Linked DNA regions of Tamandua tetradactyla. The protein of the gene in region 3 interacts with the protein of the main gene of each other region in a biochemical or structural test. Links are inferred from orthologs where the notes say so. Each region holds a gene or a part of one and is shown on either strand. Other genes may lie near its edges.

Region 1 (8,039 bases), on a different chromosome or scaffold from region 3:
AACAAGTAAGTATGCCTACTTTTTATCAACTGCAAATTCTGTCTCAAGTTTATATAATGCACTCAATATTCTACATTAAAGTACTTCATTTTTCCTAAGCCTCACAATCTGTTTCTAGTTAGAAAAGGATTTCATGACTGAAAATTATGTCTCTCCGTGGCTGGCAATAAGTTATGTCTTCCCACTGCCTGAGTTTTTTTCTTTTTTTAATATTTTTAATGAGAAATATCCACACACATACCGTCCAACCATATTTTGAGAACATTTACATCATTCCAAAAAAAGAAATAAAAAGAAAAATCTCATACATCCCATACCCCTTACCCCTTCCTCTCATTGACCCATAGTCTTTCAATCTACTCAATTTTTACCCTTTCTTTTCCCCTATTATTTATTTTTTTTATCCCTCCCCCCCTTTTTTACTCATCTGTCCATATCCTGGATACAAGTAGCGTCAGATACAAGGTTTTCACAATCACACAATCACAGTGAAAAGCTGCACAGTTACACAGTGTTCTTCAAGATGCAAGGCTACTGGAACACAGTTCAACAGTTTCAGATACCTTCCCCTAGCCACTCCGATATACCATAAACTAAAAAGGGACATCTATATAAAGCATAAGAATAACTTCCAGGATAACCTCTCAACTGTCTGAAACCTCTCAGCCCCTGAGACTTTATTATCTTTCATTCTCTCTTCCCCCTTTCGGTCAGAAAGCTTTCTCATTCTCATAATGCTGTGTCCTGGATCATGCCCAGCAGTCAGGTCCGACACTGCCAGGGAGAGTTATACTCCTGGGAGTCATGTCTCACGTAGGGGGGAAGGCACTGAGTTCACCTACCAAGTTGGCTTAGGGAGAGAGGCCACATCTGAGTAATAAAAGAGGCTCTCTGAGGGTGACTCTTATGCATAATTATTAATAGGCTTAGCCTTTCCTTTGTATGAATATGCTTCACAGGGGCCAATCCCAAGATTGAGGGCTCAGCCCACTGAATTGGTTGTCCCCATTGCTTGCAAGAATATTAGGAATTCCCCAGATAGGGAAGTTGAACATTCCTTCTTTCTCCCCAGTCCCACAAAGGAACTTTGCAAATACTTTTCTATTTTCTGTCCAAATTACTCTGGGATATATCCCACATTACACTAACCTGTAGAAAAACAAGATCTCATGCCCTATTCAAGACTCCATGTAATTATGGTGTTCAAGTAAACTGACCAGTACAAGGCAAATTACATAAGTTCTACCTAGAATATAAAGTTTGCACTAAATAAACATCTCTCTCTTTGATCTTGAAGAGGTTGAAGTTGAAAATATGCCATTGCCTGAGTTTTGTTTTTTAAATTGTATCCATATGAAAGTTTTCTAATCTTCCTTTATTTACTTCATTATAATCTAGCACATGGTAGTTACTTATACTCAAAAGCAATATTTAAAGTTGTCAAAGTTATAATTAAGTATTTACTATAGCTTAATTTCATTCTCTAATTTGAAATAAAGTCTTATAAACTGACCAAGATGAAAGGAATTCCCTCTCAATTTATCTCGAGTGAGATAAGCCTAAGACATTTTATGAAACAAATGATTTAAAATTTTTAATTTTTCTATATAAACCTCCTTTAAAAACTGTATTTCAGACAAACATATTAAACATTAACTTCATATGCAAGGTACAGTAGTTTATAGAGAGCAAAGATAAGATCACACATAAACCTAATGTGAAAACAACTGAAAATGAAATTGAGAAAAATAAAGGCAAAAAAATTGAATAGAATACCTAAAAACAGCATCCCAGTTCAGATATTTTCCTTGTTTGGAATCTGAATGACGATCCAAATGTTGAACTGTTTCAGGATCTCGAATCAGACGCTTAAATTTCTCAACTTCTTTCTGAAAATGAAAAATGAACATAATAATGGGTTACCAATCATACAACCCTTTAAAGAAAAATTAAAGTAATTTACTACCTTTCGCTCTGTAGCTCTATCATGTTCTAGTTGACGGCAGCAAATAAGCAGATCATTAAGTGCTAAACTCATGGTTCAGAATTTCAGATCACATATAATTGTCTGTAGAAAATACATAAGCATTCAAAATTAGTTTAGACCATGGAATTAATATATAATTGTTACATCTAATTGTGCAAGAGACAAAATGTGACCAAAGGCAAATACTTTTCTTAATATTCCCACATTTAAAATTAAATTCTCTTAGAATGGGTCAAAACAGTGCTTTAACAGGAATATGAAAAAAATAAGAAAAGGATCATTTACTTTTTTTTTAAAGAGATCTCTTCTAAAGAAACATGACGTTTAAGTTGAGACATGAAAGATGAACAGAGATAGTTAAAGCACGAGAAGAGCACTCACGTCTCTTCGACAGGTTCAACTATTAAACAATACCCTTGTTCATTTGTTGTGTTCCAGGAACTATGTTAAAAATGGTACATGAATCCTCAAAACTCTTTGACATAGGAGATTAGTTTCTTTTATTATCGCCGAGGAAATGTTTGGAGAGATGATTCAATCTGCCCAAGATTATACGTTTTATAAGTGGCAGAGAGCCACGACGTGAACCAATTATATCTGACTACAGAGCCATCTGTCAATGGCAGATTTATTTCCAGAAAGATGAGGCGTAGGCAACATTGTCAAATTCCACGAAAGGATCAAATAAACCTAGCTAAGGACTAAAAAGGAACAGCTGATTTGCCAATTCAGGAGGTGGGTTCAAAGCAAGACATTCATAAGAGGGTTCAAGGCTAAATCCGCTAGGGGCGTGGAGACAAGAGAAGGTAATGGGGTGGGTGGTGGAAGTAGAGGTGGGGGGAGGTGTGGAAAGATGAGGTGAAGCAGGTGGCGTAAAGGGACACTCTGGAAGAAAACGTAAAAATGGGAGTCTGGGAGAGAGGACAGAATGGCTCAGATACGAATGAATTCTCCACCGTAGAAAGCAGAAACTTGCCTCCGCGCCCCTACCGCTGAACTGCGACGGTAACGGCACTGGTGGCCAAAGTGGTATCTCTTGACGTGGCGTTGGCTGCAGCTCAAATTCCCGATTTTCTCGCCTCCTCCAGCAGCTGCAGCTGTAGCTTCTCGAACCCGTTATCCATGCGCCTATTCCCGCTTTCGGTTAAAACGCGGCGTGACCGCGCAGCGCGGGTCTTGGGAGGAAGGGGCTCTGCTAAATCCACGCCGACGTACGCTCTGCCCATGCGCGCCAAATATCACGTGCGCTTTCCTTAGCTCAAAATACTCGTCCCAAAACACTTGGCCTCTCTCAGGAAACGCGCCTGCGCCTTTTCCACCAATGGAGAGCGAGCTTTCAATTGACGTTCGATCTCGGGCTCAGTCTCTTACACCCCGCCTCTTTGCCCTTTTCAGCCTCTCCCTTGCTAATATAAGGGCGGAAATGACGACAGTTTCAAGGAGAACGGGGGCGGGTCTCATTTCGGCGCCTTTCTTTCTCTCGCGGAACCGATTGGCTAGCGTGGAGCGAAAGAGGCGGGACAAGTTGCCGCGGGTTCAGTGCCGCGGCTGGAACCGGGAGATGCGGCGCTGGAGCTGTGGTTTGTGTTTGCCTTTACCTGCGTCTCTTCTCTTATTGTGATTCCTTCTGAGACTTCAATCATGTTGTTACCTTCGGATGTAGCCCGGCTGGTACTGGGTAAGCGCGGATGCGAGAGAGAGGGTTACTGGGCCAGGAAAAGCAGGACGGAAGGACCTTTGGGGGCCAAAGGTTTTCCCTGGGCGGGGGAGCTTAGAGGTTTTGCCTCCCCGCCCACAAGTTCAAACCTGGGGTGATTCTGCTTCAGCCGGAGGCTTTGGGCAGTTTAAGACTCTTTGTGCGGGTGCTCTTCAGAGGCTTGCGTAGGAGAGGAGGGCTGACGAGAAGCAGGGGGTGGTACACCTGGGGCCCAGATTCTGAGGGAAAAGTCAGGCCTGGGCACTTAAGTAGAGATACCTGAAAGAGAGTTGCCTACGTGACGAACAGACTGCGCTTTCTTCAACCTTCGAGTTACTTTCGCTGGTCATAGTTGGGTCCGAGCAGTCAAAAGAAGAACTTCCACCGCAGCCGCTTGGCTTTGTAGAGAGATCTTCCTGATGTCCTTCGCATATCTCGCCTTTACACAACTACGAATTTGGGACGAGTGAGGGTGATTCTCTTCTTTTCCCCGCTCTCCGTAATAATTCGGCCGAATAAGTCGATTCCTATTCCTTTGATTAACCAAAAACTTAAGAGAGGAAATGCCTTTTAATTGAATATTTTCTAGCCCTCGGTAGTTTTTCCTCCGTTTGAGGAGAGTTTGTCCCATGGACTAGTTGTCTGTCAGTGTGTATTGTCTTTGTGGGCCACCGGGTTTTGTTGTCCGTCCCCTGAAGGAAGAAAGAGGATTGTACTGCTGAGAACGTGAGACATGTAAAGCTCAAAACCTGAGCCAGTTAAACACAGACAAATGTGACACCCCTAAATGTAAGCAGCAGTGATGAAACCTCTCACAGTGTCCATAGCCTTTACTGCCATTATTTTATCATTAGAAAAACCCATTTGTCTTGTTCCTTTTTTTTTTTTTTTTTACATATCCAGCCCTGTCGAAAAACAACGGTATTTGTACGGCGGCCTTGATGAGCACGTTTGGCATGAAACATTAGAGAGAAATGGTTCCACCCCCCCGTTTGGAGAAACCAATTTAATGACTTAAGTTTAAACGAATATTTGGTTGATCTTTAGCTCGTTTTATCAGGATTGAATAAGGACGTAGTTAACCTGCATCAGTATCTGTCGTAAAAACCTGAGATCTTGTAATTGTTACATTTAATATATGTAAGCCAATCAATAGTATACTTTCACGGTGTACCTTGACATGCTTTATTTTTCCTCATTATTTACATAAGCATTTTGAGTTTTGGCAGTTTTGTAATCCAGTTTAGTTTCAGGAACCATAGTCTTAAACAAGGTTTCTCATCCTCCACAGTATTGACATTTTGGGCCAGATTTTCTTTGTTATGGGGAGGTGTCCTGTGCATTGTGGGATGTTTAGCAATATTCCTAGCTTCGACCTGCTAGATGCCAGTAGGATTCCCCCAGTTGTGACAAGGAAAAATGTCTTAAGACATTGAAAATAAGTTCTGGGGGGAAGGGTGGGGGTGGCAAAATCATCTCTATTTGAGAACTGCTAAACTTATAAAAGCAATTTCAATATCCATTTGGAATACCCCACATCAATTTGTGAATATTTCTTCTGCACAAACTGGCTGCTCTGACTTTTTACCTTTTTTAATGGATAAAAACTCCAGTCATTGTTGTCTTATCCTAAAATTCTTTCTAATCCACATTTTGTGTATTACTTCTTACTTGGGCTTTTTGTCATAGCTTCCCATCCATATAGATTCCTTCTTGCTATTCATCTTATTTACTGTTGTTACAACAATCTTTCTAAAGCATTTGCACTACATCTTCTATTTTAAAAGTTGAAACAATTTTGCACGTACTAAAACTTCAAATTGTGCAAAAGGATATATAGAACAACAACAAAATGGCAAGGTGCCCCACACTCACTGCGCTTGCTTTTTCATTTGGCATAATATTTTGAAGCTCCTTCCAAATCACTACATAAAGGTCTACCATTCTGAAACTTAGTGGCTTAAAATATTAATGTTGTTATTTGCTCATGGTTCTTACTCCCATCCATATCCACCTCCCCTTCAGCTCTTCTCTTACTTATAGGTCCCTTTTCTTCATAAAATTCCTTCAGCCAATTTTTGGGTGCCTAGTATGTTGCAAATGCTGTGCTAATTGCTAAGAATGAAGAGAAAAATAAGATCACCCCTTAGAGTCCACAAAATTAGGTTTTTTACCCTTAAAAACACTTTACTAGATACCACCTCACATTCTATCTAATGCCCTATAGCACCCTTTTACAGTTGAAGCTTATTCAAAGAACAGTGAATTCTACTTACTTGCTCTACTTCCTTATCTACCCTTCTTTCTTCAGAACACTGCACTCTGACTTGTGTGTTTCTTACTCACTACTTTACCTGAACAGCCCTGGTTACTACTCAGCTACAGATAACTATTGCCTTACTGAGATTTCTTTAAATAGTCTAGGCCAAAAATACATCAAAACATAGCTTATTGCTTCTGGCTCGCTAGTTTGGTTTATCAGTATTCATACAAAATGCTTTGTGTAATTTATCCCAATCATGCGTGATCTTAGCTTCTCAACCTCAGCAGTATGCTCACAGCATACCAAGCTATTTGCAATTTCTCCACATGTTCTTATGTATTCTATCCACTTAACCTACAGTGCTTTTCTCCTTCTCTACCTCATACACTTTTACTCTAGTTCAAATCAAACCTGATCTCTGAAACCTCTTCCAAGGTTAGTTAGTATTCTTAAATGCTCTCATAGCATTGTCTGTTACTTATTTTATTGTAGCTATGTGTTTACCTCTTTGTCTTTTTCAGTATTCTTATCTGGAATTAATGGATAGGTTTCAAGAGTTCTGGGCATAACTATTAAAGTTTATGGGCAAGTGGGGGCATTTTTATTTATGAAAAGTCCAGAACTTTCTTATATTCTGAAATAGGTTAATTAGCTTTCTGCATGAGTCATCATCCAGGAAAACATAAACCAGTCAATATGAATCTGTAATGTGGAGGGAATTTAATGAGGAAATTGGTTATATTGGTGATAGAAGAGCTGAGAGGTCAAACATAAGGTGACTCATGTTAGAAAGAGTAAGAAATCAATCTGAAGCAGGAGAACAAAGATAAATGAAGCAACCCAGAGGCTAGATTGACTGTGTGGAACATGAAAAGTGGACCTCTCTAATAAAGGAGCTGATTTCTTCTTTCTGACTTCCAGTCTCCCACCAGTGCTTCCCATTGGCCTACCGCTGCCAGAAGCCAGCAGCTATGGGTGCCTGGAAAACATTGCATGCATGGTATCAGCAGGATTGGCATACTCCCAGACGGTTCAGAGCCAGCTATCTTACCCATTTTAATATCACTGACACATTATATTTAATAATTAGAAAAGCGCACCTGTAATCATGACATTCCTCTTTGTCTGCTGAATAATATCTATGCTCATTGCCCTGACCTTTACAGCTTTCATGATGTGGACCTATTCTGTCTTTTCAGTTGTATATTTACCTGTTCTCCTTCATATTACTTTGTGCTGCATCCAAACTGAAAATGTTCCCCACACTCTGCATTTATGCTTTCCATCAACTCCTCTGGGACTCCCAACAATCCTCTTAAAATATAGTCTAGTTTTCCCCAAACCTGGTAGTAATTCCTCTGGCCCCTGTACTTATTTGAAGCAAGTTAGACCTGTATCTCTTATCACATTTGCTCTGTATTAGTTATTTCTATGTGTTTCTTCTGACCTCTGTGAACAGGGGCCTTCAACTATGTTTCCCCTTCAGTCTGAGTACTCATTACTACATCCATTAGAAAGCAGTCTGAAGATAGTATATTAAGATAAAGGAAATAGGCCGATTTTCTTAATTATTTGTATACCTTTGTTGGTAAGTTCACACAAAAGATATGTTCATTCAGTTTGAAGTTGTTCTTAGGAATAAAAAAGGAGAAAATCTTAAAATTCACATAACTAATATTAACTGAAGGGTATTCATCTGTATTAATAGTGATAAAAGTTAATTGGTGCCTTATTGGTACTTTATTGCAATATTTGAGATTTAGCATAATCTGTGCCTAAAATTTTCCCTTTTATCCTGAATGAGAGTTGGTTAAGATCAAGAAGTTGATGATAAATAAGTATTTTGTAGGCAAAAAACTGATTAACCATATATATGTGCAAGCATGAACGTAATCAGTTATTTTACCGCATTATTTTGAACAAAATAGGACAAAAGTAAATTAAAATACATGAAGTTAATCTGAAATATGAATTTAATACTACCTAACCTCCAACATCACTTTTGATCTTTCATCCTTCTTGTTAGGGGTGTTTGGGCTATGGCCATTCTAAATTTTTCAGATTGGAAGGGTTTGTTACTAATATGGGGTAAG
Region 2 (7,614 bases), on a different chromosome or scaffold from region 3:
TGCCATGTAGGCTTAGCACTCTCTCCTTCTTGAAACAATTTTGCTTCTAAGATACAAACTCTCTGGTTTTCCTCCTAAATCTCTGGCTCCACCTTCTCATTCCAGTTTCTCAATGTTGAAATGTCTTAGGTTACAGTTCTGGACCTGTCTTTTCTTCCTTCTTCATATTCTCTTCTCAGGTAATCTTATCCATACCCCTAATCTCAAATATCATCTACATTCTGGTGATTCCTATATTTATATCTCTAGCCTTAATCTCTCTTCTGAGTTCCACATAGCTACTGAATATTGGCGTAGAATATCTCAAAAACTCTTGATATTCTCCCTGAAATATTTTTGTCCTATAATCAGCCCCTCTCATTAAATAGTACCACCATCCCTTCATCCACACAGTTGCTCCTGCTAGCATCCTTGGTGTATCATTTCAGACACTTTTTTTCCCCTCACTTACTGTGCTGGTTTGAATATGTGGTGTACCCCAGAAAAGCCATGTCCTTTCATCCTTATTCAATATTGCTGGGTGGGAGTTTTTTGATTATCCATGAAGATATGACCCACCCAATTGTGGGTGGTAACTTCTGATTAGATGGTTCCATGGAGATGTCTCTCTACCCATTCAAGGTGGGGTTGCTTACGGGAGTCCTTTAAGAGGGAACCATTTTTGAAAAAGCTTTAGAACCATGACAGCCCATGCATCCAGAAACCTTTGGAGATGAAGAAGGAAGACGCCCCCAGGGGAGCTTCATGAAACAAGATGCAGGGAGAAAAACCTAGCAGACATTGCCATGTACCTTTCCAGCTGAGAGAAAAAATCCAGAACTTTGTTGGCCCTCCTAGAGTGAAGGTAACCTCTTGTTGGTGCCTTAAGTTGGACATTTTCATACCCTTGCCTTAATTTGGACATTTTCATGGCTTTAGAACTATAAACTTCAGCTTAATAAATTCCCCCTTTTAAAAAGCTGTTTGTTTCTGGTATATCACATTCCAACAGCTTTCATACTAGAACACTTACCAAATCCAATTCCTCATGAAGTCCAACATATATATCTAGAGATATTCCATTCCTCTCCAGATGTACCACACTCACTATTGTCTTTTGCCCAAACTAGAGTGATGGTCCCTTGCTCCATACAGTCCAAACACTAACCACAGTGACCTTTTTAAAAGACCATGACAATGAAATTCCTGCTCTCATTTCCCATTTCACATGGGATAAACTTCAAAAAATATTAATAAGGCCAACTACATACTTCGTGATTAGGCCTCTCCCTACCTTGTCCACCTCACCTCTTGCTTACTGTGCTGTATCCCCAATGGCTTTCTCTCAATTTCTAAAATACAACAGGCTCTTTGCCTGACTGTTCCTTGAATTCTCCACAAGGACCTGTGCAAAAGTCAGGGTAGGCTAGATTAAACTTTGGTAGCAAACAACCCCCAAATATCAGTGGCTTAAAACTAAACAGATTTCCTTATTGCTCACTTCACTGCCTGATGTAGGTCAGGTGGCTCTTCCTCAAGTGAGGACTCAGGGGTTTAGGCTCCTTCCAAACTGTGGCCTCACCATATAAAAATGTGGCCTTTGTGGTTTCTGTAGAAAGAGAAGAGAGTGTGAGTGATCATGCATGCTGTTTTCTGGCCAGCTTTGGAAATGGCAGAGAACAGTTCCACCAACACCATAGTGGCCAAATCCCAGTCATACGATCGTAACCTAAATGCAAAGGAGGCTAAAAAGAAAAAAAAAAAAAGTAGTCTTCCTGTGTGTCCAGGAAGAGGAAAGGAGATTGGTAAGCAGCTGCCACATACTGGTTAAAACCTACTGCTTTTATAGATAAAGCTTAAATACTACTTCCTTAGGCCGTCAACCTAAATTAGGATCCCCTGAAGTACTCTATTGTAGTAACCTATAATTTTCCTTTACAGCATGATCACAGTTGACATTTAAAATTTCTTTATGTGATTATTTAATATTTACTTCAATTTCTGGGCTGCAGAGTCTGTGAGAGCAAGGATTGCATCCACTTTGCTCCCACTGTGTCTCTAGCATATATCAAGCACTTGGTATATTAACTGGCATAAAAAGTTTTGAGTGAACAAATGAACGACTGCACACAGTCAGTCCCTGGCTCAAACAGCTTGCAACTTGTAGAGGAGAAAAACAATTAAGTAGGTAGCCATGGTTTAGTGTGATAAGCATTCCAGGGAGGCAAGACTAGGGAGCTATGGGGGGCAACGTAAAGAGCTCCCAACAAGCCTTTAGGTTGTGCTTTCTCTTCTCCAACAATCTAATCCAGGGGATGGCAACCTATGGGCTGTGGATCTAATGTGGCTCACTACCTGTTTCTGTGCCAGCCCACGAGCTAAGAATGGTTTTAACATTTTTAAATGGTTCAAAAACAATTAAAAGAATAACATATCATGACATGTGATTTTTTTTTTTTTTTTTTGCATGGGCAGGCACCAGTTATCGAATCCGGGTCTCCGGATGTGAAAACTATTGAACTTCACATTTCAATATCCATAAATAAAGTCTTACTGGAACACAGTTCACTTATTGTCTCTGAATGCTTTTGAACTAGAATGGCAGAGTTGAATTGGTATGAAAGAGACCATATGACCTGCAAAGCTTAAACTATTTACTATCTGGCCCTTGGAAAAAGTTTGTGATCCGTGATCTCATCCATTTAAAAGATAACATCTATGTGAACTACGTGCAAGTGTAGATCTTTCAGCCTATCCTTTCTCCAGTCTCATGTTCTCTTCCAGAAATTAGGCCCTCAGTAGTTCTATCCTTACAAGTGTTCATGCCCTGCCATTTCTCTCTTCCTCTCTTTTGTCCATCCTTCTCACTGCAACCAAAAGCTTACTTCCAAAAAACTACTCTTTGAGTCTTCTCATTGCGTATTAGCAGTATATTCAAGATTCTTCATTATCCTATCATACTTTACTTTTCACCTGTATTTCTTCCAACCAGCCTTATCAATCACTTAATCTACCTGTTGGGGATTGAGTCCTGTCCCCCATATAGAACATGTGGAAGCCTTAATCCCAGGGCCTGTGGATATGAACCTACTTGTGAATAGGACCTTTTAAGATGTTATAGTTAAGGTGTAGACTCATTTGTGAATAGGATCTTCCACGATCTTATTCAGATATAGCGAAATTGAATCAGTATGGGCCTTAAGCCATATGACAGGAATCCTTATAAGCAAAGGAAATCCCGGACACAGTCAGTTAGTAGAAGACAGAGAATGAGAGAGATTGCCATGTGATGGCCGGGATGGGGTGGGGGTGGGGGGGGCGGGGGCGGTGAGGTGTTTGTGGGGGGGGGGGGTAGAGATACATGGCAACCAACCCTAAGAATTACCAGCAAGCTATAAGGCTGCAGAATCCTGGAGAAAGCAAAGTCTGTCCTGCTGGAACTTTGATTCTGGACGTCTAGCCTCCAACACTGCGAGACAATAAATTCCTGTTGTTTAACCCAATCAGTGTGCAGTATTTGTTACAGCATCGCTGGCAAGCTACCCACCTCCTCCGCCTACTCTAATTCTTGGCCTGTGCTCACAATTATCACCTCTGTATGAAATATCTGAAGGCGAGAGGTCTATCCTGCCCATCCTTTAAGTTGGTTATCTCAAATGCCTCCTTTTCCTAAAAGCCTTCCCCACCTCCGCTACTGGGAATAATCGTTGCCCTCTGTGGATTCTCTAACACTTTTTACACTGTTCTATTTCAAATTCTGCCTTATATTATAATTTCCCGTGCATATACACACAGATCGTCTGTGTTTCCCGTTCTATTGAAAGCTTCTAACGGGTTTCTGTATTCTTTTAGCATCTAGGAAATGCCTTGTACGAAAAGGAAATTGCAAAATTCTTCAACGGACCTGGTTTTGTGAATGTTGTAATCTCTAAGAACGACTTGTATTTTAAGACTTACCAGAGAGAGTAACGCCTCTTTAGGCCACGCTGTCTTCCAGCTGGTCACACACTTCAGAATGTTTGCTGTTTGGGACCCTGGTGTGTCAGTAAACACGTGGGTGAGGGGCGCTTCCCTTCAGGTCCCGCCTCTCTCCACGGTGATTGGCGGATCAAATGTACCAATCAGCCCTCTCCGCCTCTTTCGGCAGCAGCCAATCAAAGAGCCCGAGAGCCTCCTGACTACTAGACACTGTTTACTAACAGATAGAAGCTGGGGAATAAGGGGTGTGACCGTTCAGGGGGTCAGGGAAGGGAAGGTCTTGACAGCGCATGCGCACTAAAGGAAAGCTCCAAAGGGAAGAACAGGCCTCCACCAATCGGAGTGGTCGCGCTCCTCCCTCTCCTGCCTCCCCGCCAAGCAACAACAATTCGAGGAGAGGGGCGGGGCGGCTCCTGTAACGTCAGAAAGAATTGCCCAATGGGAGCCGGCGTTGACAGATGCGCGCGCCCTATGCCCAATAAGCGATGGCGGTTCGAAAGGCTCCTCTACCTTGATTGTTGTGGGCGGAGCGGCTCGAAGGAGGAGGCGGTGGAGCAGGGGGCGGTTTGGTTGCGCGGTACTAGCGGTGCCCGCCGAAGGGGGAGGAGGCGGAGGAGCGAGCCGTGCGGCCAGAGCGGGAAAGAGACTCGTCTGTGAGTCCGAGTTCTGGAACCGCTACAGCTCGGCACCTGGGGCTGCAGCAGGGTCTGCGAGCGGCCAGGCGTCCTCTGTCTCCCGGGTTCCCCTCGTAACGACCCCGTGGGGTCGGAAGAAGGGAGAAGATGGAGGAGGAGGGAGGTAGCGGCGGCACCGCCACCGCGGCGGGAGCCAGCGGCGACGGGGAGGAGCAGCTCCTCACGGTCAAGCACGAGCTGCGGACGGGTGAGCCACCCCGCCCTCTGCCGGCCGGGCCGGGCGCGAGGGTGCCCTGGGGATACGCGGATACCCGCGTGGGGCTGGGGGGCGGTGGGCTGGGGCTTCCCCGGGCTGCGGGCGGGAGCGGTGGGCGTCGAGGGGCGGGCCCGGGGCGGGGCCTTGTCGGGGGCTGGGCGGGAGCCAGGGTTTGGGGTGGGGAAATGTGGGGAGATAGGGGCGCGCCTGACGTAGCCGGGCCAAAAGTTTTTGGGAGCCCGGGAATGAGCGGCGGGCGTGGGGCGCTGGGGTCCTCGAAGCAGCCGACAGCTGTTGGCACTTGTCTCTGAGGATGTCTTCCCTCCCCCCTTCCCGCACAGGTGACATATCTGTCACAGCATCCTGTCTAGGGTGAAAGATGCGCCTTTCTCAATATGGGGTGACCGATACTTTGTTTTGGTGCGTGACTCACTCCACCCCTCTGCTTCCCGTGAGTTTTCCTATGGGGTTTGTGGAACCATCTCCTAAGGTGCTGTGGTCCTTCCTGTACGAGATAAATGGGCGGCTGTTCCTCCGGCTTTTGTAAGTCCGGTCTCCAGTGGAATAAGGAAGGGATCGCAGGCTCCAGGGACTAAATGCTTTTATTTACAATTGTCGTGAAACACTACACCTGGCCTGGAATTTTTGACTCTTGAGATGAAGGCTCTGTACATTTAAAGCTCTAGGTGTACAGCGACTAGCTAGCTGGCTTACGGGCTTCCTTCCTAGTATTTGATATCGCTGGAGTTGCTCTGAGCTTTATACTTGTTCAATTACTTTATTCGTTGCATGTGGATATGAATTGTTCATTTTGGAAAGTGCTTATTTGGACTAATCAGTACAGTTTGGATTTATATTTGTGTACCCTAATCTCTTATTAGAGATCCTTTTTCATTTCTGAACAGAAAATATACTTTAAATTAGAATTATCCACCTTTATTATTAAATGTTTTTGAGGCATTTGTTAAGGCTGTCGGTAACAACTCATTTGTAACATTGGCATATTTTATTATGTAGACAAAGTTTATACAACAAATTTCAGATGTACATCTTTTGTTTCTGTTTTGAACAGATTGTAAAGGTAGCTCTGTTTCTCCTTCTTTTAGTTTTTGTTATTTTTAAGGTGATTGCTGGTTAGCATTCCATTGAGGCCAGTGTGGTGACTTAAGACATACATTGTATTCATGCCTTAATTCAACTTAAAAAAATTATTGTTTGTGATCTTTGTGAATCTCATATACTTGAGCCAGTAACTCCGTAATCGTTTTGAATTCATAGCTTAACCTAGATGGGTTTGTTTTTCTCTCTCGATTTAGTAAACAGTTGATCTTTTCAAAGGGTTAATAAATCATTTACTCTATAACCATTTATTATTATCTGATTTAAACCAGACTCTGGATTAGGTGCTTTCTGCTGTGGAGATTTTGAATTTCTTTTTCTTGTCTTACAAAATAGTTCACTGATTCTGATGGTAGAGTTGTGATGTACAGAAAAAGCTACTAGAAATCATATTCCCTTTAGCCATTTACCATGGTGTAACAAGCAGTGTTTTGCTAAATGACCAAGAAGCAACCTACTGAGGAGTAGTAGTCAACCAACTGCTTAGTTTCTGGGTTTGCAAACAATGTTAAATTTGTAGAAAACAATGAGTGCTGCTTTATTTCCCCTTCTCTACTGTGTGAATCATCTGCTTCAAGTTTGCATTTTAGAAATTTTTCTGATGGATGGTGAGATTATACTGAATTAATCAGTACTGTTAACTGTCAAAGGAAATGAACAGTCATTTTGACTTACTGCTGAACACTGAACAACTGACCGGATATAGTGATGAAAAACACTGGTAAAATATAACAAGAAGATTTGCTCATCTTCAGCCAACTGCACTCCTGTTAGCACATGATACTATAATAGGCACCGAAGTAATTTGATCTAATATGGTCTCTTGCTTCTCAAAATGTAGACAAGTATATAGTCATACCAAGTCCCAGTTGGTGATTGCCCATTTATGCTGAAGAGTGAGTAAAAAGCAATAAAAGTCACATGTAAGGGATGGAAATTACTCCAGTTGTATAGAGAGAATAGCATGACAAACATGGACATGGAGTGGAGCATTTAATTCTAAATCCCAGTTTTGCTGCTTACAAGCTGTACAGACTCTCTTAAGACTGACTTCTCATCTACAAAATGTGACAGTTAAATGAAACACTGTTGGGCAAGTGCTAAACAGTAAGTGTTGAATATAAATCTAAGCATCACCTCATAACAATATCTTGCATGCAAATCAATCCAAATCACTCAGTTGGTCCTTAGCTTATGCCACATTGCCTGGATGGTGCCTTTTTCTGTATGTTTCTTGCCTTCTCCAGGAGCTTAAATTCTTCTGCTCCTACTGAGAGCCGGTGCGTATCTTTTCAGAAACATTTACACATGGTGCTATAATAATCATTTACTTGTCTATGCTAGACTGTAAGGTACTTAAGGGCATTATACCATATCCTCTGTCCATTTTCAGTCCCTGACATATGGTAGGTACTCAAATAATGTTGAATGATTTAATTGAATGCTTGAAAATCCAGGACCAGTTCTGACAGTTTGTTGCAGTCCTATTTTCGTTTGCTAAATTCTGCTTGAATGCAATATACCAGAAGTGTAATGGCTTTTGAAAAGGGAGTTTATTAAGTTACAAATTTACAGCTCTAAGACCATAAAAATGTCAAAACTAAGGCATCCAGAAAAAGATGCCTTGACTCAAGAAAGGCCAGTGTC
Region 3 (7,435 bases):
AAGGTACTAAAACAGAAGCATGCCTAGTATGTCTGAGGAACAGCAAGGGGACCAGTATGGATACAATGAAGCAAACAAGTTCAGAAAAGTAGCAGGAGTGAAGATAAGAGAGGCACTAAAAGGGACAGATTCTGTAGGACCTCAGAGGCCATTATAAGGATGTGAGCTCTTACTCTTTAAGAAAACGGAGCCACTACGGGATTTTTGAGCAGAGGAGTAATATAATTTGACTTACATTTTAAACTGACGACTATGAATACTGTGCTGAAAATTGGTTGTAGTGGGCCAGGGAAGAAGTAGGGAGACCTTTCAGGAAGTATCGCAGTAATCCAGGCAAGAAAAGGTAGACCAGGCTCACAGACATAGCAGTGGAGATGGTGAGAAGTAGTGTTTTGGGATATATTTTGTAGGTACAGCCAACAGAACTTACTGATAGATGTGGGATGTGAGAGAAAGACATCAAGAATCATGCCCAGATTTTTAACCTCAGCAACTAAGATGGGAAAGGCTATAGGTACAGAATATATGAAGAGCATCTGTTCAGTTTTGGACCTGTTAAATCAAAGGCACCTGTTTCTTTCAGCTTCACTTGTAAGGCCAACCCCAGGCAATCAAACAGTACCCTATCCTACCAACCAACCCCAGGCAGTGACAGTCTCATAGCACTTTGCCTTCTGCTTGGGTCACATATCTCATAGGAGGGTTTCTTTGGTATGCATATAAAATGGAAGTGGGGCAGGGATGTCAGCAACCAAATTGGCTGAATTCTGACCACCTCCTCTAACTCACTTTTTTTCCCTATCCTCATTTCCTTGGAATTTTGTGCCCTAATAAAATAGCATAGAAGCTTTTGCCTCAGGTTCGCCTTCTGGATGAATTCAGGCTAAAAGAACTTCCAGATATGAATAGGTAGTTGTTAACATGAGTCTGGAGTTTGGGAGAGTGATTTGGTGGAGAAGATATAATTTTGAGAGCTGCCAACATATATGTGGTATTTACAATTATGGAACTGGATGAGAGTACAAAGGAGTGAACACAGATAATGTGAAACATGAAGATGATGACAGGTTGAAAATTTTAGCATATTTAATGTTTTGTTTACTAGTGCTTATTCCCTAAATATTTTTGGAATAAATGAAACAGGTCACCATGGCCTTGGAAAATCAAGTCATGAGAGATGATGAACTAGGGAACAGGCAGGGTCATGGAACTTGAGATCATGGTAAGGGTAAAAAATAGGTTCACCAACGGAAGCAAGAGAAAAGAACAGGAAAAGGAAGTTGTGGTTAGAGAAAAGCACTCAAATATCACTTTATCATTTATTATCTACTGATGGAACCTTCCCTCTTTCCCGGACCTCTTCCACGACACTTATCTTATTCTATGTCAGGTTATGTCCATGTATACTCCTTTCATCTTCTCAAAATTAACCAGATTTCCCAGTTAAGAAACTGAGTCAAACATGGAATTCCAGAGACAAAAATTGAATGTTGAAAGTTTTCCATTTCTAGTTTTATGTCTTTGGTTTATGAAGATGCTAGAGCAGAAAACATGAAATTGGGAGACCAAATTTCAAATCTAGAACATACCCAAAATGTTTAGTGAAACAATTTGCACTTGAATGACCAAATGAATGAGTGAATGGACAAAGCTAGGTAGGAATAGAAGACACTAAGGGAGAAATTGAGGAGAGTATGATTTAATAACTGTTTGAGCCCCACTGGATGGACACTAGGGCATGAATCAAGAGGGGGAAAGGGTGTGCTGTCAGAGGCACCTAGGAAACTGGCAAGTAACTGATATTTGAGGGGACTGGGTCTAAACCAAGATCAGTATGAATGGAATAGAAAGATGAACGTGAGGAAATTTTAAAACAAAACATTACCAGATTTGGTGGGTGATACATACAAGCATGAATAGATAATTCCAAGAATTTGTTACCATTTATAGGGACAGAAAGAATTTGTTACCATTTATATAGGGACAGTAAGAAGAAAGATAATGGTTAAGGTAGGGAGATAAAGAGCTCAATTTTGAAAATGTATTTGACATAATGGTGAGATGTTCATAATAACAGTAATAGCTAATATTTTTATTAGTATTTGTTACATGCCACTCACTGTCCCAAGTACACCTCACATAAATAATCTTATTTAATCATCACAATAACACTATAAGGTAGATGACATTATCATTCTTATTTTACAGATGGAAAAACTGAGGCACATGAGTAAATAATTTGTCCTAAGTCACACAGGTAGTAAGTGACTGAGCCAAGATTTGAACCCCAAAATATTAAGAAACTGCCTGAGATCACACAGATATTTATTTATTTATTCAATAAACATTTAATAAGCACCTCTATGGTTTAGACATTGTACTGGTTTTAGGGATAGTAGGAGAGAGGAGGGGAAAAGTTGCCAGTGAACAAGACAGACATGGTCCCAACCTGCATTGACCTTATAGATTAGCTGGGTAGAAAGACACTAAACAAGCAATTACAAGTATAATGAATCAGAAAAGAAAAGTGGTAAGTTACAATTAGGTAGAAGTTGATGATAGAAAATAATTCCAGACAAAGGGAATGGCATATGTAAACGCCTTGAGATGAGACCCTACGGTAGGGAAAAGTAAGAGAAGAGAGACTGGAAAAAATGAAAAATAATAATATGGCTGGAGTTCAAAGATCTAGGAGGACAACTGGGGATGTAAGGGAGAAAGATAAGCTCAGGAATGGGGGCCTGGTCTCCACGAAAAGTGCAGACTGTGTTTGGTAAGCAGTGAGAAACAACTTAAGTGATTTTAGCAGGGTAAATCAAATGACTTTAGTCAAGGTGACTTGACTAGATTTGTATTTTTAAAATGATTATTCTGGCTACAGTGTGGCAAATGGTTTGGAATGAAGCAAGTACACTTTTGGAGTACCTGGATGGTGGTTAATACAGGACTTCAAGCAAGAGGTAAAGGTAGCCTAAACTAGAGAGTGAGTGAAAAGGTGGCCATGGGAACAGTGAGGTGACAAATCCAAGAAATATTCATTAATATTTCACTTAGACAGGTCTAAATGATTCTGAGGTGTATCACAAGTATCCCAGGAGTTTGGCTTGAACTAGGTAGATGGATAGCATGCCCTTTACTGAATCTAGGACTATGGGAGGAGAGTGTTGAAGGAAAGATTTGATATATATATACATATATACATATATATACAGAGTAAGTCTGATGTGCCCCAGCCATCCAAATGAAAATGTAGAATAGGCAGTTGAAAACACTAACCTAGAATTCCAAGAGCAAAATCGAGGCTTGAAGTATGGATTGCAAAGTCTTTGATAGAGGGCATCAGAAGCCAATGGGAGATGAGATCATGTGGGAAAACATCTATGGTAAGACTCAAGAAGAGGAGAGCTCAGCTCAGCAGAATTCCAATATTTAAGTGCTGAATAAAGGAGAAGGAACTGGTTATTAAAGAGCAGTCAGAGGGTTAAGAGGAAATTTTTGACATGAGAGCTGAGGGAATAGCCTATTTGGAAGAGGATGTGATCATAGTGTCAAATGCAAGGATGACTAGATTTAAACGACTAGATTTAGAGAAAGAAGCTTGTCTGTCACAATTCAGAGCTGTTTCAGATTAAAGGGTAAGAACAGACGCAAGACTGGAGAGCTGAGTGGAATGTAAGAGAATGTCCATAAAGTAGAGAACAATTGGGGTTCTGGTTGGACAGGATTGTATGGAGAAGAGAATCTTTTTTTTTAAATGAGATGAGACTTAAGCATGTTTAAATGCTGATGGGAAAGAGGCCATAGAGAAAGAACCACTGAAAATACAAGAAGGAAAAGGAGATAACTCTTTAGCCTAAAGCCCCTGAGAAGGTTGGCATCAAGGGTACAAGCTCCAGGAAGGGCAACTCTTACTCTCTAACAGGAAGCCAATAAGTGGCAGACCCCGGATTTGAACTCTCTTTGTGTGCTTCTAAAACATATATTTGCTTTGTGGGACAGAAAGAGAATTAATAGACATGAAAGCCCGGGAAGAACTGCAGAGTTCAATAAAAAGGAGAATAGTCAGTAGTGTGGCCTTGGACGACCTCTGAGAAAACGCTTTCGGTAGCGTGGACGCAACGGAAGTCACACTGTCCGGGTCTGGGGAGGGTGAGTGGTAAAGAAAAGCGTGCGGTGGGTGCAAACCCCTGAGGTAGAAAGCAGGCCGTGAAAAGGGAGTGACACAGGATGTTGTCTGAAGGCGCGCGGGTTGGGAGCTATTTTGAGTGTCGAAGAGCAGCCTGGGTCAAGACGGACAGATCACGCTCAGAGAAGGCCTCCGAGGGCAGGTGAGGTCACCTGCGGCCCTCTGCCGGTGCTGCTGGGTTGATCTCCGCAAGGCACCACCAGTCCCGGAGTTGCAGTTGAATGGGGACGGAGGATAAGAACAGCTCCACCCGCAGCCGCCAGGTTTTTCCGCTGATTTTCGTTGTAGGACAGTCTGGCCCCTCCCTACGGAGACCCTAAAATCCCCCAGGTCCCTTCCGAATAGTGCAGCGTCCTTGCGTCCCAGCGCCCGGCCCGGGCCCGTGACCCGGGGGCGTTTACAGGGGGGCAGCGACCCCTTCCTCCCTGAGCAAGCTTGTCCCGAGCACTCGAGTCGCGTCCCAGGCCAAGTGGCCCGTCTCCCACGTCCCGGCAGGGTTTGACACTCCCCGGGGCTGCCGGCGCCGGGGAACAGAGGCTGAACCGCCGCTTACCGCCGGAGAGACAGGACGGTGCGCCAGGTTCCGTCAAGTCTTCGCACCCCACGGGAATTCCTCATGGGGCCTCACACAAACCCCACTTCCTCCGTCAAATTTCCGAGGCCGAGTTTTACACACAGACAGGCAGCTGTGGGGTTTAGACCGACACCTAACGCCTGTCTCTCTTGGCGGAACGCCTTCGCCTCGCGCGAAGACCTTCGGCAAGTTCCGCCTCCAGCGCAGAGGGCGGGGCCGCTCGGTCTCCTTCGGGATGGGCTCGGTTGTTTCCGTGCGCGGCCGCTGCGCACTCGGCACTGGGCGGCGCTGGCTGGCTCCCTGGCTGCGGCTCCTCAGTCGGCGGCGGCTGCTGCTGCCTGTGGCCCGGGCGGCTGGGAGAAGCGGAGTGTTGGTGAGTGACGCGGCGGAGGTGTAGTTTGACGCGGTGTGTTACGTGGGGGAGAGAATAAAACTCCAGCGAGATCCGGGCCGCGAACGAAAGCAGTGACGGAGGAGCTTGTACCACCGGTAAGAGGAGCAGGAGGAGGAGGCAGGAGCCGCAGAGAGCCAGGGGGACGGAGGGGGGACAGGGAGGCGCCGGACACCCGCGCTCAGGGCCTTCCCCTCGCAGGAGGGGCCGCGGTAAAGATGGAGCCTCGGCCCGAGCCCCACAACATCGCCGCCGCTCGCAGCGAACAAAGAATAATGGCGGCGGACTGGAGCCAGCGGCGGCCGGGGCGGCAGCGACTCTGCCTGCAGCCAGCGGCGGCGCTCATGGCGGGGGGCGGCGGGCTGCGGGCGGGGTGGGAGCCGGCGGCCGGGGGTGTATGCGGGCGGCCAGCCGCGGCGAGCTGGCGCCCGCGTTCCCGCCGCCGCCGCCGCTGCCGCCTGACCGGGCTGGGCGGGCGCGGAGCCGGGAGCCGGGAGCTGCCCCGGGGGAGGCCGCCCGCCAGACCCAGCGCGGCCCCCCGCGCCGCTCGCCTGGGCTCCGGCCCTCACCTCGCCCCCGGCCCGGCAGTCTGCCGTGGCAGCCGCCACCGGGGTGCCCGTGGTGGGTGGAGAAGGAAGAAGGCGACAGTTGAGGGCAGGGGAGGTGAAGGTGGTGCTGCCTTCCCGGTAGCCTCCGTGTCTGCCATGCCCGCTTCGCGAGGGGAAGAGCTGCAACGTCTGACCTACTCTTCACTCTCTTTGTGCAATAAAGTTCGAAACCGAAGGTTTCCTTTTGTATGTATTTTATTTATGCTCTCTTCACCCCGTCCTGCTCCTACCCCATTGGGCAAATGCTGTTTTCTGCTTAGTTGAGGTGATAAGAGTTCATTCTTTTTTAAATAATTATTTACGCTTTTTCTCAACCCCCTCCCTTTTTCTTTTTAAGTTAGTAGTCGTGGAAATGCATTCTTTCTGGGAGGAAAGGGTACTAAGAAAACCATTTTTGTAATAAAAAAAAGCTGTTGGGATCTTGTAAAAGGGAAGCTGGGGTTTGAAACAGTTTCGGTTTTAACCCTTTTCAATAAGGTAATAATCACTTGAGGTTCATTATTCTGAAACACTTCGTTAAAGCGGACATAAGGTGATCGCACTTACGTTTTACATCGCTTTTTTCGAGGTTGGGGGGCAACCTTGCCGACGGCTTTTGGGTCGTTTGGATTTCCTCCTACCCCCCCATCCCGCCCCACCCTTCGCCATGTTTCCCACACATTTCTGTCTAAACTTAAATAAGAGATTGATACTGTTTCTAAAAATAGGCATTAAAAAATTTCGCTACTTGTATCGCATGCTGTGGTTTATACCAGTCTGGGATTAACAACAATTTAAGCCATAAGACTTTTTCTTCACCTGTTGGAAAGAAAGGGACTGCATAAAAGTCATTGACATCTTAAAGACAATTTATGAAAACCTGGAGTGTGACCTATTTAAGTTTGTCGTACCTTTCCAAGAAGTTAGAATCTCATTCTAGCCTCAGCTATCAATAAGGTCGACCTTATAAAGGTTTCGAAGAAGATACTTTAGGCTGCTGACTGTTGAAATCTTTACATTGACTGCTCATTTCCCAAGAACAATTATTTTCGGTGGTGCGAAAGATAAAACAGTTATATGTTTAAAAAAACTTATCTGTCACAGTAGATAGAAAATGTGATTGATACATACAGGACCTCTTGTTAATGGTAAATATTGATTGGGAGTAGAAGCACCGACTCTTGATTTTTCTGAATCCAAGTTTCTTTTACGAAAACTATTTTGCTGTATTGCTAGTCTTTGAAAGACAACATTAGCAGTTTGTCATTGCTGAGAAACCTAATTAAGAAGATGCAGTAAAGGGAGTTGTTCTGTTAGAATTGGGATAATGATTTTATTTCTAAAGTTGAGAAAATTATTATATTTGCTTATGGTAAATTACTATTGAAGAAGAATTTTTCCTTGAGAAAGGTTTTCTGCAAGCAAACATCTAGAATTTTTTCTATAAAGAATACACTGTGTTGACAGTACACTTTGTGAAATTAAAAAAAAGTTGTTTTCTGATGTGTTATTTTCTTCCTGGTCTTGTCCAAAAGATCTTTTAAATTTTGTTTTTATTTACAGGTTCATAATTTGTGATTTTGTGCAATTCTAGGGGGAAACTTTTGAAGCTTTTATGTTCATTAATATCTGAATATTCACTTGGTTTATGGAACTAAATTATATGTGTGTCCCCTCTCAGGAATCAGTAAAAATTA

The links.
Region 1: of the proteins of CREB1 (region 3) and ATM, one has a biochemical effect on the other in vitro, tested with the Homo sapiens proteins (2 studies listed by BioGRID). The link is inferred for Tamandua tetradactyla from reciprocal best matches to the Homo sapiens genes CREB1 and ATM.
Region 2: of the proteins of CREB1 (region 3) and RPS6KA5, one has a biochemical effect on the other in vitro, tested with the Homo sapiens proteins (3 studies listed by BioGRID, with this or other methods). The link is inferred for Tamandua tetradactyla from reciprocal best matches to the Homo sapiens genes CREB1 and RPS6KA5.

Annotation. Positions count from the first base shown.
Region 1 is NC_135334.1:33,611,421-33,619,459, forward strand, and holds the start of ATM (serine-protein kinase ATM), read right to left. Parts: upstream 3,258-8,039; 5' UTR 2,978-3,257; exon of another isoform or gene 2,964-2,977; intron 2,069-2,963; 5' UTR 2,039-2,068; coding exon 1,967-2,038; intron 1,890-1,966; coding exon 1,777-1,889; intron 1-1,776. Other genes in the region: protein NPAT, read left to right, coding at 3,629-3,665.
Region 2 is NC_135338.1:51,712,987-51,720,600, reverse strand, and holds the start of RPS6KA5 (ribosomal protein S6 kinase alpha-5), read left to right. Parts: upstream 1-4,486; 5' UTR 4,487-4,739; coding exon 4,740-4,839; intron 4,840-5,069; exon of another isoform or gene 5,070-7,614. UniProt on the Homo sapiens protein: Serine/threonine-protein kinase that is required for the mitogen or stress-induced phosphorylation of the transcription factors CREB1 and ATF1 and for the regulation of the transcription factors RELA, STAT3 and ETV1/ER81, and that contributes to gene activation by histone phosphorylation and functions in the regulation of inflammatory genes.
Region 3 is NC_135329.1:182,884,808-182,892,242, forward strand, and holds the start of CREB1 (cyclic AMP-responsive element-binding protein 1), read left to right. Parts: upstream 1-4,328; 5' UTR 4,329-4,449; intron 4,450-4,739; exon of another isoform or gene 4,740-5,249; intron 5,250-7,435.